Schizosaccharomyces pombe: one gene and its partner. The main gene of each other region encodes a partner of the protein of the gene in region 2 in a complex. Each region holds a gene or a part of one and is shown on either strand. Other genes may lie near its edges. The genes, in order: kae1 and cgi121.

What was found.
Region 1: cgi121 (region 2) and kae1 share a complex: the UniProt entries of both Schizosaccharomyces pombe proteins name them as parts of the EKC/KEOPS complex.

What each region holds. Positions count from the first base shown.
Region 1 is NC_003423.3:3,586,310-3,595,331, reverse strand, and holds kae1 (EKC/KEOPS complex N(6)-L-threonylcarbamoyladenine synthase subunit), read right to left. Parts: upstream 4,370-9,022; 5' UTR 4,167-4,369; coding exon 3,586-4,166; exon of another isoform or gene 3,546-3,585; coding exon 3,086-3,545; 3' UTR 2,974-3,085; downstream 1-2,973. Other genes in the region: DNA replication endonuclease-helicase Dna2, read left to right, coding at 1-1,836, 1,885-2,599, 2,647-2,973; tRNA (guanine-N2-)-methyltransferase catalytic subunit Trm11, read right to left, coding at 4,946-5,005, 5,054-5,169, 5,209-5,487, 5,529-5,693, 5,737-6,526; protein acl4, read left to right, coding at 6,844-7,854; nat1 (NatA N-acetyltransferase complex subunit), read right to left, coding at 7,986-9,022. UniProt on the Schizosaccharomyces pombe protein: Component of the EKC/KEOPS complex that is required for the formation of a threonylcarbamoyl group on adenosine at position 37 (t(6)A37) in tRNAs that read codons beginning with adenine.
Region 2 is NC_003421.2:917,834-925,401, forward strand, and holds cgi121 (EKC/KEOPS complex subunit Cgi121), read left to right. Parts: upstream 1-3,544; 5' UTR 3,545-3,588; coding exon 3,589-4,113; downstream 4,114-7,568. Other genes in the region: rps1702 (40S ribosomal protein eS17), read left to right, coding at 31-33, 98-493; yta4 (ATPase Msp1), read right to left, coding at 939-2,006; THO complex subunit Tho7, read right to left, coding at 2,622-2,853, 2,903-3,053, 3,110-3,328, 3,382-3,388; skb5 (Shk1 kinase-binding protein 5), read left to right, coding at 5,236-5,658; XRCC4-like factor xlf1, read right to left, coding at 6,379-6,834, 6,948-7,103. UniProt on the Schizosaccharomyces pombe protein: Component of the EKC/KEOPS complex that is required for the formation of a threonylcarbamoyl group on adenosine at position 37 (t(6)A37) in tRNAs that read codons beginning with adenine.

The DNA of each region.
Region 1 (9,022 bases), on a different chromosome or scaffold from region 2:
GTCTGCTACGGCAGTGGCCAGCTCTTTTCCTTGTTTGAGGAAAGCCGTAATATCTGACAGGGTTGGCATTTATGGACCTCCTACAAAAGCTATGGTAACTGGAAACATTTTACATGATTTTTTTCAACACGCATTATACAGAGGTATTGATGCCCTTGAAAATGTTGATATCAACCTTGAAACATCAATAAAAACATACATCTCTGATATCTATTTTGCTGATTTGTCGCTCGATGAAATTCGAGAGGAACTTGATGCGAGGCTTCCCCTTCTTAAATCTATTGTTGAAAGATATTTAATAAGTAAAAAAAATGACAACAACAATGAAAGTATTCACATTTCAAGGCTTCTCGATATTGAGGAATCCATATGGTCACCCAGATTTGGATTAAAAGGTAATATCGATGCTACAGTTGAGGTGGTTTTAACTGAAAAACCTGAGTCTTCGTCAACCCTCACACTTCCGTTAGAGCTTAAAACTGGCCGATATGTCGACAATATTAGCCATTTTGCTCAAAGTTTGCTTTATACATTACTCATTTCAGATCGTTATGGTATCAATACTAATCAGGCATTATTATGCTATTTGGAAAATAGTACTATCAAGAATTTGGTTGCAAGTAACTCCCAACTTCGAGGGTTGATCATGACAAGAAATTCTCTTGCACAGCATAACTTTAGGCGCAGCCTTCCTGAAATGATTTCGAACCGAAAAATTTGCGATCACTGCAGTTTAGTTTCTGAATGTTTGTTCTTTCAAAAGATGAGTGATAAAGGAGTAGCTAATAGTAACGGCTTGACTGAGTCATGGAATGAATGGATGCGCGAAGTAAAAGATGAGGATCTTGAATTTTATAAGAAGTGGGAGAAGTTATTAAATCAAGAGGAACGACTCTTACTACTAAAAAGAGGCGATGTGTTGACTTTTGATACAGAAGAGCTAGAAGCTTATGGAAAAACTCTGTATCCTTTATACATTACTAAAGAGGATATCGTTTGTTTAGAAATTGATGACAGGGTTTTTCATTACAAATTCGCTTTTTTAAATGACAATGGTTATCCTCGAAATTTCTTGCACTCAGGCTTCAGCGTTGGTGAACGAGTATTTATTTCTGATGAACATGGACACTGGTCACTAGCTAAAGGACACATAGTCCATATTCAAGATTCATGTATTGAAGTACGAACTCGTCATCGACTTCATATTCCATGGCTAAAGATGCCTAACTTTGATTTCAAAAAAAACCAGGTATTTTTTGGTAACTATGAAGATTCCAAATTGTCATTTATCGGAAGTAACCATACGAGGTACAGAATTGATAAGGACGAATTTTCGAGCGGAATTGCATCAATAAGAGGTACCTTGATGTCTTCTGTATTACCAGATGCTCCCTTAATTATAAGGGACATGATTATCCGTTTGAAGCCTCCAAAATTTTGTAATAGTGCATTAATCGATCCTGAATTTTTGAAATGTTTAAACGAAGATCAAATTACAGCTTTAAAGAAATGCCACGCTGCAGAACATTATAGTTTGATACTCGGAATGCCTGGAACGGGGAAAACCACTACAATTTCTAGCTTAATCAGATCATTGCTTGCCAAAAAGAAGAAAATACTTCTTACTTCTTTTACGCATTTAGCAGTTGATAACATTTTAATTAAACTGAAGGGTTGTGATAGCACAATCGTCCGCTTAGGATCTCCTCATAAAATCCATCCCCTAGTAAAAGAATTTTGTTTGACTGAAGGAACGACGTTTGACGACTTAGCGTCATTAAAACATTTTTACGAAGACCCCCAAATAGTTGCATGCTCTTCTCTAGGGGTATATCAGTAAGTAATTGAAAGCGACGGCAATGAACAAACTACTAACAACATTAGTTCCATTTTCAATAAAAGAAAATTCGATTATTGTATAATTGATGAGGCATCCCAAATACCTCTACCAATTTGCTTAGGCCCTTTGCAGCTTGCTGAAAAATTTGTTTTAGTTGGTGATCATTATCAACTTCCTCCTTTAGTAAAAAATTCAAGAACATCTAAGGATGGTTTGTCGCTCAGTCTATTTAAATTACTATCAGAAAAGCATCCTGAAGCCGTTACCACTTTAAGACTACAATATCGTATGAATGAAGACATTAATTCATTATCTAGTGAACTTATTTATGGCGGCAATTTGGTGTGTGGGTCCAAGACGATATCCCAAAAAAAATTAATTTTGCCAAAAGCTCATCTAAGTGATGGTTTACCCGATTCGTCGTCTAGCCTACATTGGGTCAACAAGTTAATCAATCCTAGTCATTCAGTCATATTTTTTAATACCGATGATATTCTGGGAGTTGAATCAAAAACTAATAATATTCTAGAAAATCATACTGAAGCTTTTTTGATAGAACAAGCAGTTTCCTCCTTCTTGGAACGAGGCGTTAAGCAAAGTTCTATCGGGATAATTTCAATTTACAAAAGTCAGGTGGAGTTGCTTTCTAAGAATCTTAAATCATTCACTGAAATAGAAATTAACACTGTCGATCGTTATCAAGGAAGAGACAAGGACATCATTTTAATATCTTTTGTGAGATCCAACAGTAAAAACTTAGTGAGTATTGAACCAATTATTTACACAACTGCTAACCATTTATTTAGGTTGGAGAATTGCTACGCGATTGGCATCGTTTGAACGTTGCTTTAAGCAGGGCGAAAGTGAAATGTATTATGTTTGGCTCGTTATCTACTCTTTCGTCTTCAAATATAGTTTCTCATTTATTGAAATTATTAGAAAAAAACAAATGGATTTTCACGTTAAATGAGAATGATATAGCAACGAAATTTGACGAGAATAGCTCTCCAATTAAGGATTGTTCTCAGGTTGCAACGACAAATAATGCTAAAGTTATTATTAGAAAGAACCAAAGGTTTTTTAATAGTGACAATTTATGTGAAAAAGCTATTTTACCTCAACTGGAATTTTGATAATCTACTTCAAAAAACTCAATATTTTACTGGATACGATCTTCATAATGAAGAATGTATATATAAATGCCTAAAATAAAATTCATCTGATCCTTGTTCATGAATATAAGTATTAATCCCTCCATGATATATAAACATCGTCAGTACGATATCTTTGAGTAATCGTCGATTCTGCGACGGCACATCGGTCCCCGGTTTTATAAGCCAACAACCCTGCTTGGGCTATCATTATACCATTATCAATACAGAAACGTTCATCTGTAGAAAAAACATCAGCGCCTCTATCCGAACTCATTTCAGCCATCATTTGTTGGAGACGTTCATTGCATCCAACACCTCCAACAATTAAAACAGAATCAGCTCTGATATGTGCCATCGCGCGTTCTGTAATTTCAACTAGCATTGCAAAGCCAGTTTCCTGTAAAGAGTAACAAAGATCTTGCTTTGTAACAGAACTCGGATTTTTTGGGTCTAATAGCTCTGTAGCTGCCGCTTCAACCCCTGACAACAATCCGGAAAATGAACAATCCATACCTTTAACAGTATAGGGTAACTCTATAAATCTTTTGCCTCTAGGAAAAAATTAGTATAAAACATCAAAGTGAGTCTTACTTTTTTGCTTCTTGCATAATATTGTAACCAGGTGAAGGTGCATTGGACAAACCAATGATTCTGGCAAATCGATCCAAACAATTGCCTATAGCAATATCAAGCGTTTCACCAAAAATCCTATACTTCTTCTCTGAGTATGCAATTACTTGAGTGTTTCCCCCAGAAACATAAAGCACGACAGGATTTTGTGCACCCGTAATTTCACGACCCATTTCAATGTGACCAATACAATGATTAACTGCTACTAAAGGTTTCTTGTGAATTAGTGATAACATCCTAGCACAAAGAGCTACACTATTCAGAGGAGCACCGATTCCTGGCCCCTTTGTGAAACAAATGCAATCAATATCTTTAAAAGAAATTTTTGCCTCAGCAAACGCTTGCTTAATTAAAGGGATTATCCACGCACGATGATGCTTAGCAGTATCGCTGGGCAAGAATCCCTGTCCGGGAGGAGTGATATAAGTGTGTCTGACATTTGCTAATATTTTAGCCGATCCATTGGTATCATGCAAAATAATACCAACGCCTAATTTGTTTGCTGAACCCTCTAATCCAAGTGCAATTAAAGGTTTTCCCATAATTATTAACGTGAATAAATATACGGTTCCTCACTGGTCAACATATGCCGTTCTTTTATGTATCAGTAAGTTAAAAAGTTGCGAGCAAGCTCAAACAAACCAACTAAAGTTATTTCTGATAGAAAATACCCAAAAATAAGAAACTGAATATTTTTCGATATATTATAATCTATATATTGTAGTCCAAGAAAAGTGTGTGTACTAGATAAATTCGCTTACACCATTTATTAATCCATTTGCTTACACCTTAGAAAAATCGGATATTTTTACCTCTTAGTTTTGATCTACAAATATTTATAAACTCTACGTAAGCATGAAAATATAAATTGTGTACGACTTTGTTCGATTTTATTTTATTTTTTCTAATACCATATGAGTTGCTTTTCGGTTTAAAATTTTTTTACTCCCTATTGCGAAATAAATAATTCTTAAATACTAATCTGCTTTCATAAACAAGCCATAGCATATAAATATAAATATATATATATATTTTTCTAATGGTAAATTGGACACGAAATACCAAAAATTTTTTTATATAGTTTTAGACATGCTATTTCAATAGTGCTTTGGAAAATTGCTGCTTCATGACTATACGAAAAATAAATGTAGTATATTACAAGTAACAATTAAAAACCCAAATTTATTTAACAATCTCGTATTCTTTAAACCAAAAAAGTTGCTAAAATTAAAAAACCAGAGGAGAGGAAAAGGGAAACGGATAACAGGACATCAAATTTATTCTCTTTTTATTTCCTTGCCTCAACAAATCCATTGCTAATTTATTCTAAGACAGGAGAAAATTTGGTACTTGCGGATGCACGCCCTGCGCTGCTAAAGTACTGTTATATTCACATTAGTAATTTGTTGAGCCGTCTGAACTAGCTTACCTTTTCTCGAAAATTGTGGTGCGAGGGTGTCTTATTATTTATTTTAGGGAGTAAATTTAAACTTTTTGAATCGTGAGCTCTAGGGAGTCTCTGAAACGTCAACAATCGACGTGACCCTAATAGGTTAATAAAATGTATGGTTGGTTAAAACTTACAGTGAGTGAAAGGCTGTATGCTATTATAAATCAAAGAAAGATACGGATGTGAAGGAATATCATCGATACCATACTCTTCTGTTATAGTTGGAAGCCACAAAACCAATCGACCACCATCAACAAGACGATCTGAGGCAAAACATATAATGTCGTAAACCATATCACTAATTTGATATTGCTCCAACTTTGGATAGTGATTACCGGTTGAACTGGACTCTTTGGGTGGTCTTTGAGAGCATTTGGCGATCTTTTTAGCACCAGCACGGACGCCATAAGGAGCTATCAAATGTTAATGGAAATGTTAAAAAAGAAAGACTTACGGTCGCAGACAATCGCATCTAGTAATAAATTTTTCCTCAGTGGGCAATTAGTGACATCTCCAGTGAAAGTATCTAAAAAGAATGGGGACAATTTGTATTGCCGAAAATTGGATTTAATAGATCTTCCATTTTTTCCGCGCATCTGCCTACCATCTATATCAGAACCTGCAAAACAATGTTAGTTTGGCATAACTGGAGAGCAACCTACCAAGTGTATGAGCTCCAAAAAAACTACATGTATATAAAAAACTTCCAGTTCCTACAAATGGATCATATATAAGTTTCCCAGGAGCTGCCATAGCCATTTGAGCCGTTACAAGAGAAAGCTCTGCGTCAAAACTAGTAATTCCAATGTAGCTTCTTTGTTTCAAATCAAATGTATCAATTGCATCACGAGAACCACTGCCGCACCAATGACCAAAGTAAACTTTAGGCCCTTCTACGTTGTTCCTACGATTTTCTAAAACCGTGAATACGTGTTGCGGGTTGTGCATAGATACTGGTCCTTGTAACTGCATGTATTCAAAATCGCTTATAATTGACAATTGTTCCTTCATCGTCCTTCGGGTGCCAAAAGTTTCAAATGTAAATTTGTATGAACTATTATGTTTAAAAGAGTCCCAAGGTGCGGGATTTAGCTCTTTCATCTTTTCATGTAACCGCGTAAAAGAATCCCCAATACAATATATTTCGTATATCCCTTTACAAAAAATTGATCTCCGAATCCAACGCCTTGCATCTTCGTTGCTATTAACGACGGCTAGCATAAATGGATTTTGGGTTGTAGCATCATTCGGAGAAATTGAGTCTTGAAACTCTTTAATTGCATGAGAAAACAATGCCTGATTCCGACTTTTATCGCTTTTGAAAGCAACATTCAAATATTCTGATTTTGGAATTAACCAAAACTCAACGTTTTCAATCTTAGCTAATGTTTCTAATTCAGGCAAATGAAAGTGTGCATGAGTAGAAGCTAAATGCAGTAAATAGACAGACATCTTAAGGGTTACAACATTTATTGGATATGGGATTTAAAATATCTGAAAAAACATATATGGCCTTCTATTGTAAGTAAATACTAGCTTTACTAAAATTTTATAAATGACTAGTTTACGAGAATGTTGTAGTGGAAGAAAAATTTCATCTTAGCAACAAAACCACTAGACCTTTGCCAACTTACTGTAGTTTTGCATTGTTTGGTTATTAAACAAATCTTTATGTTTTGTAATACTTTTAATAACCAAATATACTTTTTTAAAGCCCTTTGTTAAATAAAAGAAGGTTGGAAGCACAATTAATAAACGAAACAATCAATATGTCTGTAACCGACGCCGAATTATTAGAAATTCGTGAGAAGTTAGTAAAAGACGAAACATCCGAAGCATTAATTCTTGCCAAAAAAGCTGCGGATAAAAGTCCCAAGGAAGATGGAAGGGCGTTCGAGCTATTGGGTGAAGTTTATGCAGAGTTAGCTGACGTTAAAAAAGCGAGGTCTGCTTTTAAGGAGGCTGTTTCGCGATCAAAAAATTTAACAAATGACCAAGGGTACGAAAAATACCTTTGGCTTGCCCAAATTAATGATAATGGATCGAAAGCTTTAAAACTTTATCAAAAAGGAGTCACTATCCTCGAACGACTTTTGATAGACAAAGGAGAAGACGCAGATCTTAAGAAAAAGATTCAGGGAGCTTATTGCAGCATTGCTGAGCTTTTTATGACCGATTTATGTATGCAACCTGATGCTGAAGAAAATTGTGAGTTATATACAAAACTAGCATTACAGATTGATGCCACAAACGCTGAAGCTTTACAGACACTAGCATCTATGCGTATTAGTCAACAAAAAATAGAGGAAGCCAAAGATGCTTTATCTAAATGTTTGCAATCTATTTCTAGGGCGGCTACGGAGGATAGTGTTGATCTCCCTACCTATGCAGTTCGAACATCCATTGTGAGGCTATTAATTGAAGTTGAAATGCATGAAGAGGCTCATCAACTTTTGGTATACCTTCAGAAAGAGGATGATCAAATTTTGGATATATGGTACTTATTGGGCTGGAACTGTTATGTAGAAGCTCAAAACCTACAAGAACAGGGTAATGGGTCTGAGGAAGAAATAAAAGAGCTTCTCATGAATGCAAAGTTTTATTTCATTTCGGCCTTAGGTGTATATCAAAAAATAGGATGGGATGATGAGGGCATCAAGAGTCATATTCAGGAACTACTCGAAATTTTGAATGGCCTTGGTGTACCGAATATGGACGAAGAAAACGAAGAAGCTGAGTGGGAAACTTCTGAAAACGAAGAGGAAATGGATGAAGATTAGAATTTTGTGTGGTTTCCTTGAATAAGTTGTCACTTTTAGGGTTTTAATTTTTGGGTATTATAGGTTATCAAAATATAAATATAGTCCGTCGACATCACATCCTTCATAACTGTGTATCCGAAAAGGGGTTCTTACAATACTGAAGTTTCTAGACTATTAGCTTTTTGGTGTAATCCTTCAATGTTGTTAGTTAGTGCGTAATAACAGAATATTATACCTTTAAGTTTATAAAGTTTAGAAGATAAAATTTTTAAGAATCCCCAGCCTTTGATTTTATGCCAGCAAATTGGCTGTAAGAACCTCATAGCTTCTGTTAATGGATCATCAGTGATTAGCAGCTTATGCCCAAAGTAGTCTTCATCAATAACCAACGGCTCTTCACTTTCAGAAGGGATGTAACTTTTAATCTTATCCTCCTCTATTTTTTGCAATTTCATGATTTTCTTATTGTCCTCTCTAGCGTACGCAATTTGTTCAACTTCCGACATATGGGATATCTCTTCAGCTTTATTTCCGTACATATTAAACTTGGATTCAAACAACAATAGGTATATGGTAAGAGCACCAAGAGTAGCTCTCAAATAATCTGTTGAAGACCACAGGTTATCGGACCACTCTACTAATTCAACGTATTCTTGAAATTCACCGTCCTCTGCACATTGTGTGAAATAATCAAATTTCAAAAATGACCATTTTTTGTAAATTTGATAAATAGAATGGAACCTTTTCAAAGCTAGCCCATATAATTTCTGCCGTAATAGGGACTCACCATCTTCAACTAAAAACCAAACACATTCAGTTTCTGCTAAATAATTGCATACCCCGCCAAATCTGAATCGTGAGAACTTAGACAAGACAATATAAGCTTCCTCATTTCTATCCATACGTATTAAATATTTTGCATATTTAGAAGCTAGAGCACGGTCACTTTTATCAAGTTCCACTGACCGTTTAAATGAGCACAGTGCCTCTTCAATTTCACCCATGCACAAGAAAATTTTTGCTTTTGCCAAAAAAAGTTCTGGATAAGTCGGTGTATGATCAATTGCTAAATTGAGCCAATAATTCGATTCTTCATAATCACCTAGCTTATAGTGTGCGAGGCATAAGCAATAGGTACACCATAGTTTATGTGTTGGTATATTTTTAGCAGAATCGCCTTCTCTAA
Region 2 (7,568 bases):
CAGTGTAGTAAACTCATCACAGGAACAGAAATGGTAAGGCTTTCAATAGAATAGTTAAGAAACCGGTTTGAGGATAGAAATTACTGACAAAACATAGGGTCGTGTACGCACCAAAACTACGAAGAGAGCTTCTCGCGTAGTTATCGAGAAATACTACCCTCGTCTTACATTGGACTTCCAAACCAATAAGAGGATTGTCGATGAGGTTGCTATCATTGCTTCCAAGCGTCTCCGCAACAAGATTGCTGGATACACGACTCATCTTATGAAACGTATCCAACGCGGTCCTGTCCGTGGTATTTCCTTCAAGCTTCAAGAAGAAGAGCGTGAGCGCAAGGATCAATACGTTCCTGAAGTCTCTGAGCTCGAGAAGGACAAGATTAACGTTGATCAAGACACCAAGGATATGCTTAAAGCTCTTGGCTACGACTCTATCCCTACTGTCGTTGTCGCTGCCTCTCGCCCTGAGCGTCCCTTCCGTTACAGACACTAAATAACATTTTAAAAAAAATAAGATGTATGTTCTTTTGAACTGTCACGGTTATTTATTTTTGTGATGCATTTTGTACCATATTGTTGTATTTGTATTCATTTCGATTTGTAGACAGTAAAGTAGGTACGTAAAATCGCTCCTCTAGAAGCTCGGTAGTTAAATTTATTGTACATTTAGTTTAGACGATTTCAATTTTTTCATTTTTGTTTTTACAATCTTACAAATTTACTAAGACCGTTCGTTGTGAATATGATACCTACTGAAGATGAAAGTGCAATGGGCAGAAGTCGTTTAATAAAATAATTAAAATTGGCTGTTGTACAAACGCTCAATATGTTGACTTGACATATTAAGAGAAAAGGAAACTAAACGGTAGAATAATAAAACAATTCAAATTATGATAAACCCTGAGACGTAAATTCAATAAATACTTTTTCTAATAAATTCACTCGACGTCTATACCGGAAACATTTTGTAAGGATTCATAATGATAAAAGTCTTCCGTCTTCAAAGACCTCAAACCGCCTGATTGTATGTCATATTTGATTGCTTCCAAATCATTTCCATGCTTGTCAAAAAGCTCTCTGCGTGGAACTGATAAAGCAGATCTACAGACTTCCTTGATATATGAGCCAGACAGTCCAGCAGTGGCATTAACAACTCCATTCCAATCAAAGTTCGCTTCTAACGGTACCTTTTTTAAATAAAGTTCTAAAATCTTGCGACGCTGTTCGGCATTTGGAAGAGGTATGGAGAATACTTTAGGCATACGACGCCGAATGGCCTCGTCGATGTCAGCTGGTCGATTAGTAGCACCCAAAACAAGAACCCGTGACTGACCACTCAATAAACCATCCCACATCGACATAAATTCAGCTTTAATTTGAGCCATTGCTTCATGGTCTGTCCTTTGGCGTTGCCGCAAGAAAGTATCAATTTCATCGATAAATATTATAGTAGGCTCAAGCTTACGAGCTAGTGTGAATAATGCGTCCACAAGCTTGTTTGATTCACCGAACCATTTGTCTGTTAAAAGGCCCACACTCACATTTATAAATGTAGCTTGACTTTGCTTGGCTAATGCTTTAGCTAGCATTGTTTTACCACATCCAGGAGGCCCGTACAAGAGTAAACCCTTTGGACACGACAAAAGTCCGCCATGGGTGTCAAACACTTCAGGGTATTTTAAAGGAAAAAGTACATCTTGCAAAAGCTGATTAACATGTTCATCCATACCTCCAATATCATCAAAGGAAACATCGATTTCGCTGGGTAGAACGAGCTGTGATGCAACAATCTGCTCATACTCATTTAATTCCAGAGTCTCCAATTCCTTGACTTGTTCCCCAGCCCACTCATCAAGTCGCTTACGGCTTTTGGAAACTGTATCCTGCCTTTTTTGTCGATACGGATCTAAAGTAGACAAAAGTTTATGTGCTGCGTACCAAGAGCAACCAAATGCTAAGGCATAGACAACGATCTCTTTAATTGCCCTTTTAGTCGTCGGATTCATAATCAATTCCCCAGTAATAAACTTCAAAATGCAAGCACACAAAATTTTATGCAGTAAATTTGTCTGGTGGCACGCTACTACTATTGGGGCGGTTGGTATGTTCAGCTAAATGGGTAAAGAAGATATACAAAGTTGATCGTACTTTGCTACATTGTTTGGAAAATATATTCATTGAAAAAATTATTTTTAAATAAAAAATTTTCATTTTCCTAAAGAAACAATCCCAATGGTTTCAAAGCGCAGTTATCAATTATCAAAAGTGGTAATGTAACAATAAATATTTACTCTCTGTGCCAAAAGATTTGGTTATAGATGAAATAACAATTAGTAAACAATAATAATTAAGCAGAGATTTTTTCTGAGTAAATAACCCATTGAAAAATGAGAATAAAAATGGAGCGAGAAACCTTTTAGGAGATTTGGATATACTTATAAATATCCAAAAGGGAACCTAACGGAACTATATACAAAACAATAAAGGACATATCAAGACTAAATCGCTATGCCCGTCCAGTGAAGCTCACTGTTTAACATATCCTAAACGGAAAAACCATTCCTATCATTCGTAAATTCACGAAAATTTTTAAATTATATACAATTTTTTCCTCCTAGGATTTATTTGGCCTTGTATTGAGTCGAACTTGACGACGAAGGATTTTCACCTTCACTAGCAATGCCTTCTTCTGAATCAGATTCGGGATTACTAGGAGGATGCAATATAGACTGTAGGTGGTTCATTTGCTTTAAAGTTTCATCAAAAATATCTTTTCTCAAATTCCATGCTTTTACATAATTCGCGTTTTCTTCTTCTAACTCACGAATAGCATCTTGCAACTTTCCTATTGATCTGTAAACCCGGTCAGTCTAAAATATTCAATATAAATCTGGAAACTTACTCTTGTTGTTCTGTTCTTGATCTCAATCCTTTTGACATTATTGGCTTGGCCAACTCGTCGTATTGTTCACGCTTTCTTAATTCTTCTTGGGCAACTAGTAAATCTTGCTCAAGCTGGCTTATTTCGGTTTTTTCTGCTTCACAAAATGTTTCTGAAAATATTAATAAAAACATCACTGTACTTAAAGTTACGAATTTAATCACATACGAGTCTTCTTCAGTTCTCCTTCGTAAACATCCACTTCTTTAGCATTCATGTCTAATTGCATTTGCAATCGAAGCCAAAAAGCAGAGAGAGCAGAAAATTCAATTTCTAAATCCCTTAAGTTTGCTTCGTCTACATTTTGAGCAGCAAAACCAAGACACCGACTAATCAACCGTTTCAAAGGCCGTTCTTCCACAGTTAAGCGCGATCGAATCGCCGTCTCTGACATATCGGTTAACTTAATATTTTCAAAAAAAAAATTATTTATAGCATACCCTCCATAATGAATTGAGTAAAAAAAAAGCAAATTCACTATACAATTTAGTTGGGCGCTAAGTCAGTAGCTGGAGTGTTCGGAGTTTTAGTCACCGTATTTTACCGATGTTTACCGGCAAAAAGTTATTAGTACGATTATTACCTAAGAAATGTAAAAACGCTAACAAGGATTGCAGTTTGATATTGCTATAGAACAGGCGGGCAAAATGATTTTACCTCTTTTTCCAGAGACACAAGTTCATGTTTTTGTATATGAAAATGTTTCTAACTGTGCTGCGATTCATGAACAACTAATAAGCCAGAATCCCATTTATGACTATGCGTTTCTCGATGCCGCTACTATTCTATATAAAAAGCAGGTTTATAGCGCTATTATTAGGGCTCTCGAAGATAGAAGGGACGAACAAATGAAAACTAAGACGATTCACTCAGAGGTTATTTTGTCATTGTCCCCAAAAACCGAAATTTCTAGTGCGTTCCGACAATTCAGCATGACAAAAAAATCTAAAAACATTGTAGTGGTAAAAATTGATAGCAAACTTACAGAAGAAGAAGAATTTGAGCGCTTGGACAAACTTGTGGAAGGTAATAGGGTCGAATTTTCTGACGAAGAGTTACAAAAATTAATAGACTTCAAGGTGTTAAAAAAGAATTACAAATTGGATCCCTCTACGCTTGAGAATCCTTTGGCCTCTATATTATCTTCGATAGCTCTACGTGGTTATTCTTAAAAACATATGTTCTAGCAAATCTGATCTTTTGTCAATGTTTCACAATTGATTTGACTATTTTTCTATGCGGCTTGAATGATAATGATGAGAGTTCCAAATGGAACGTTGTGTGGATTCTTCTATTCCTTATAATTTTTTCCTCTCTCAAATGACTGTACAAACTATTTAGCAAGCACCTACATAATCAATTTTTGATTTACGAATTGGTAAAGGATGGCACGTAAAGTTATGCCCTCTGGTTTGGTTCAGTTTTATGATCTCTTGACAGTTTTACTAAAGTAACTAAGGGCATTTCATTACGATTATCTGTTTCGATACTTTTACCTAGGGAATGCTTTAGTGTTATTTGACATCATGTTTTGTTCTTGTGCAATATTTTTTGCTCAGGTCTATTGGCGATGAATTACTATATGGTGGATCTCAGTGCAAAAAGTTTACCATTATGTGAATAGTTATTAAAAGTTTAATGGGATTATAAATTAATGGGTTTTTTATTGCGCACCTTATGCTCCTGTTATAAAGAAAAGCAGGTCGCAAAGGTAAGAACTATTTTTATACAACAATAAAGGTTTTTACATCGTATGTTTTACAATTAACTGGCAGCTCTTTGTCAAAATTGTTTATTTACGGATTTAACTTGCCTTCTTGCGGTATTGACTGCTAAGCCGGAATTTGTGATATCAAGCCATCCGTTTCCCAGTCACGCGAAAACTCTTCCTTATGGAAATTTCATTTTAACAAGTACAAATCTGTTAAAACTACATTCATATAATCATATGCAGGCAGCCGATTAGAGAAAAACTAAATTTCTTAGGCAGAATTGTCATTATCCGTCAATACCGCGTTTTTTTTATTTTCCGCTTTGATTTTTTTTATCATTCTTTTTGGTTCTTTTATTTTTGTTTTTATTTGTTTTGTTTTCTTTTTTTCCTTTTCAAAAGTCATTTGAAGACAAAAACTCAACGTTGAAGAGAGCATTTGTTCATCTGTTGACTTTTCGCCAATACACCTGTTTTTTTATGGACTTGCTAAGTATAGTGTAAATTTAACGCTGTCGTTGATCCGTATGATTTCTTTTGATTAATTTAAATCGTTATATGTGACACTAGCAATTTTTGCTTCATGGCGGAAGAGACTGAAGAGGATTATTTAGTTGTGGGTCGTGATTACTTGTACCCCCCAGATCATGAACTGCACTATGGGTTTCATGCTCGTGTGATTGAAGAGGAGGAGGAGCGATTTGTAGATGATACCTTTGATGAAACAATCGAAGGATCGGATGACTCCGAATCAATAGATGATACGGAAGTATTTTACGATGCTGAAGAATCTGAAAGCACTCACCCTTCTGCTTCTTTCAACGTCCTTGCTGACGCCGTTGCGCTTTATGATTTCGAGCCCCTCCATGATAATGAACTCGGTTTTACTACTGGTCAGAGACTTTGTATTTTGTCGGAATCCAGCGATGGTTGGTTGATTGCATACGATGATGCCTCAGGAAGAAGCGGGCTTGTTCCTGAGACGTTTGTTAAATTAGAGGTATAAAAGAGCGTTGAATTGAACCCTTTTTACTTTTTCTTTTTGTCAAATTGATTTTAAAATGTTATTCCTTATTTTATGTTCCAAGATTTTCTGGATCCTCTCCTTTATATATAAGAATCCGAAGTGTTACGGGAAAAAAATTCGGATTGTCACGCTTCTTATGAATATTATTTAAATGTACGCCTTTAAAGCAACTATCATACAATTCTCCTTTGGGTAAATAACTAACCTTGGGATGTGTCGTAACTTGGGACTTATTTTTGATTTGTTATAAGGATGAAATGAATGTTCTATCTTATGGACCTTACAAGAAAAACTATAATATTGTCAAATATAATCATATGAGATGAGTTAAGCTACATAAAACTCTTTGAAACTTTATTTTATATTATTGCAACCTTCTAATAACTTTACATCTTCTTATCCAAAGAAGAAGGGTTAGAATGTACCGTGTTTTACGGAAGTTCCATTCCCGTAGGGTTACAATGTGTTGCTAGAATAAACCGTAAGTCATAGTACATATAGAGGCCAATTCTGTAAACTTTTTTAAAGTCTATGGAAAACCCTCTATGTGTCTCCAATAGAGAACGGACATCTCTTTCTGATTAGTATATACGTTTTCATAGTCTCTTCATCCTGAGGTAAATTGTACAAAACGCTGTAGTTAAACATGTGATCGAGTTAAATAGATATCTTCATAGTTCAATATACCATTAGATTTTTTTAAACAAAATCATAACGAGTACGAGGTCGTTTTGGAGAAATAATATCTGCAAATGCTGAACGTTTTCTTGGTGTGGAAGGATTGGAAGACGAGGATCTTTCATTTAATGCTTCCTTGAACCAAGTCTTGTCATTCAATAAAGACTTTTGATCACGAATAATGGACATTAACGATCCTGGACTAGTGTCGGTTTCTGACTCGAATAAGTGATGATTGATAAGAGGAAACCATACCATCTTGGCAATCGTCTCTGGTGGAGTAAGCCAAAGGGTCCAATTCCATTCTAAGAAAATATCTTTAGCTATTTTTGAGGTACAGAAAATTTTTAAAGATCCCTCGTCATTTGAGCCTCGTAGTTGAATTCTACTTTCAGAAGAAACATTCACCAGCACTTCAGCCAGTACATCGACTAACGTTTCAAACGTTTGAAATGGATCGATAGGACATCTTTCGCTCTGTTTAAAAGTTAATATAACTCTTGGTTGAGAGAAAGGTGTTAATTTGGTTGCATTTATAACTGCTTTTCCCCTGAAAGCATAGTAGCAATGTAGTTGTTAACTAATCTTACCTCTGCCTGATTGACGATTTGATTGCGGCTACATGTACAGGACCAAACACGCACTAGGTCTGTAATATGAATGACTTGTACAGCCTCATTACTTTCTGCGTCGAAGCTAGCCTGTATAAAATGAAACCTGTGGCCACGTAGCTGCACCCAAGACATCAAGTATAAACAAATGCAATGTCTTGTTCAGTATCTCAAATTGATTATAACAGCAATTCAATTGAAAATATTAAAGCTAAATCACTAAAATAGAAGAAATAAGCTCAGCAATGGTCACAGTTGAGAATTCGAGTTTGCAAAGTAGTATTGGTATTGATGAGAAAATTAAACAACCGATATATGCCAGAGTAAACAATAACTATGCCAAGTTATTCTTTAAACTTTAGAATGTGAAAATTAGATCAATTGGAATGCTTTTGTAAAATATTGTCTAGTGGTTTGAAAGTAGCCAGCGAAAGACAACACAAACAAGGACAGAAAGGAACTACCAAGTAATTTGAGAGCTATTTTTTTTTGAAGCTTAATTTGAAAACGAAAAAATTATTAAGTAGATAAGAATGACTCCGTTCGGTTTTTTCTTCTGCTCACAGAATTTCGTGGACTAGGGGACATTTCAGCGGTATG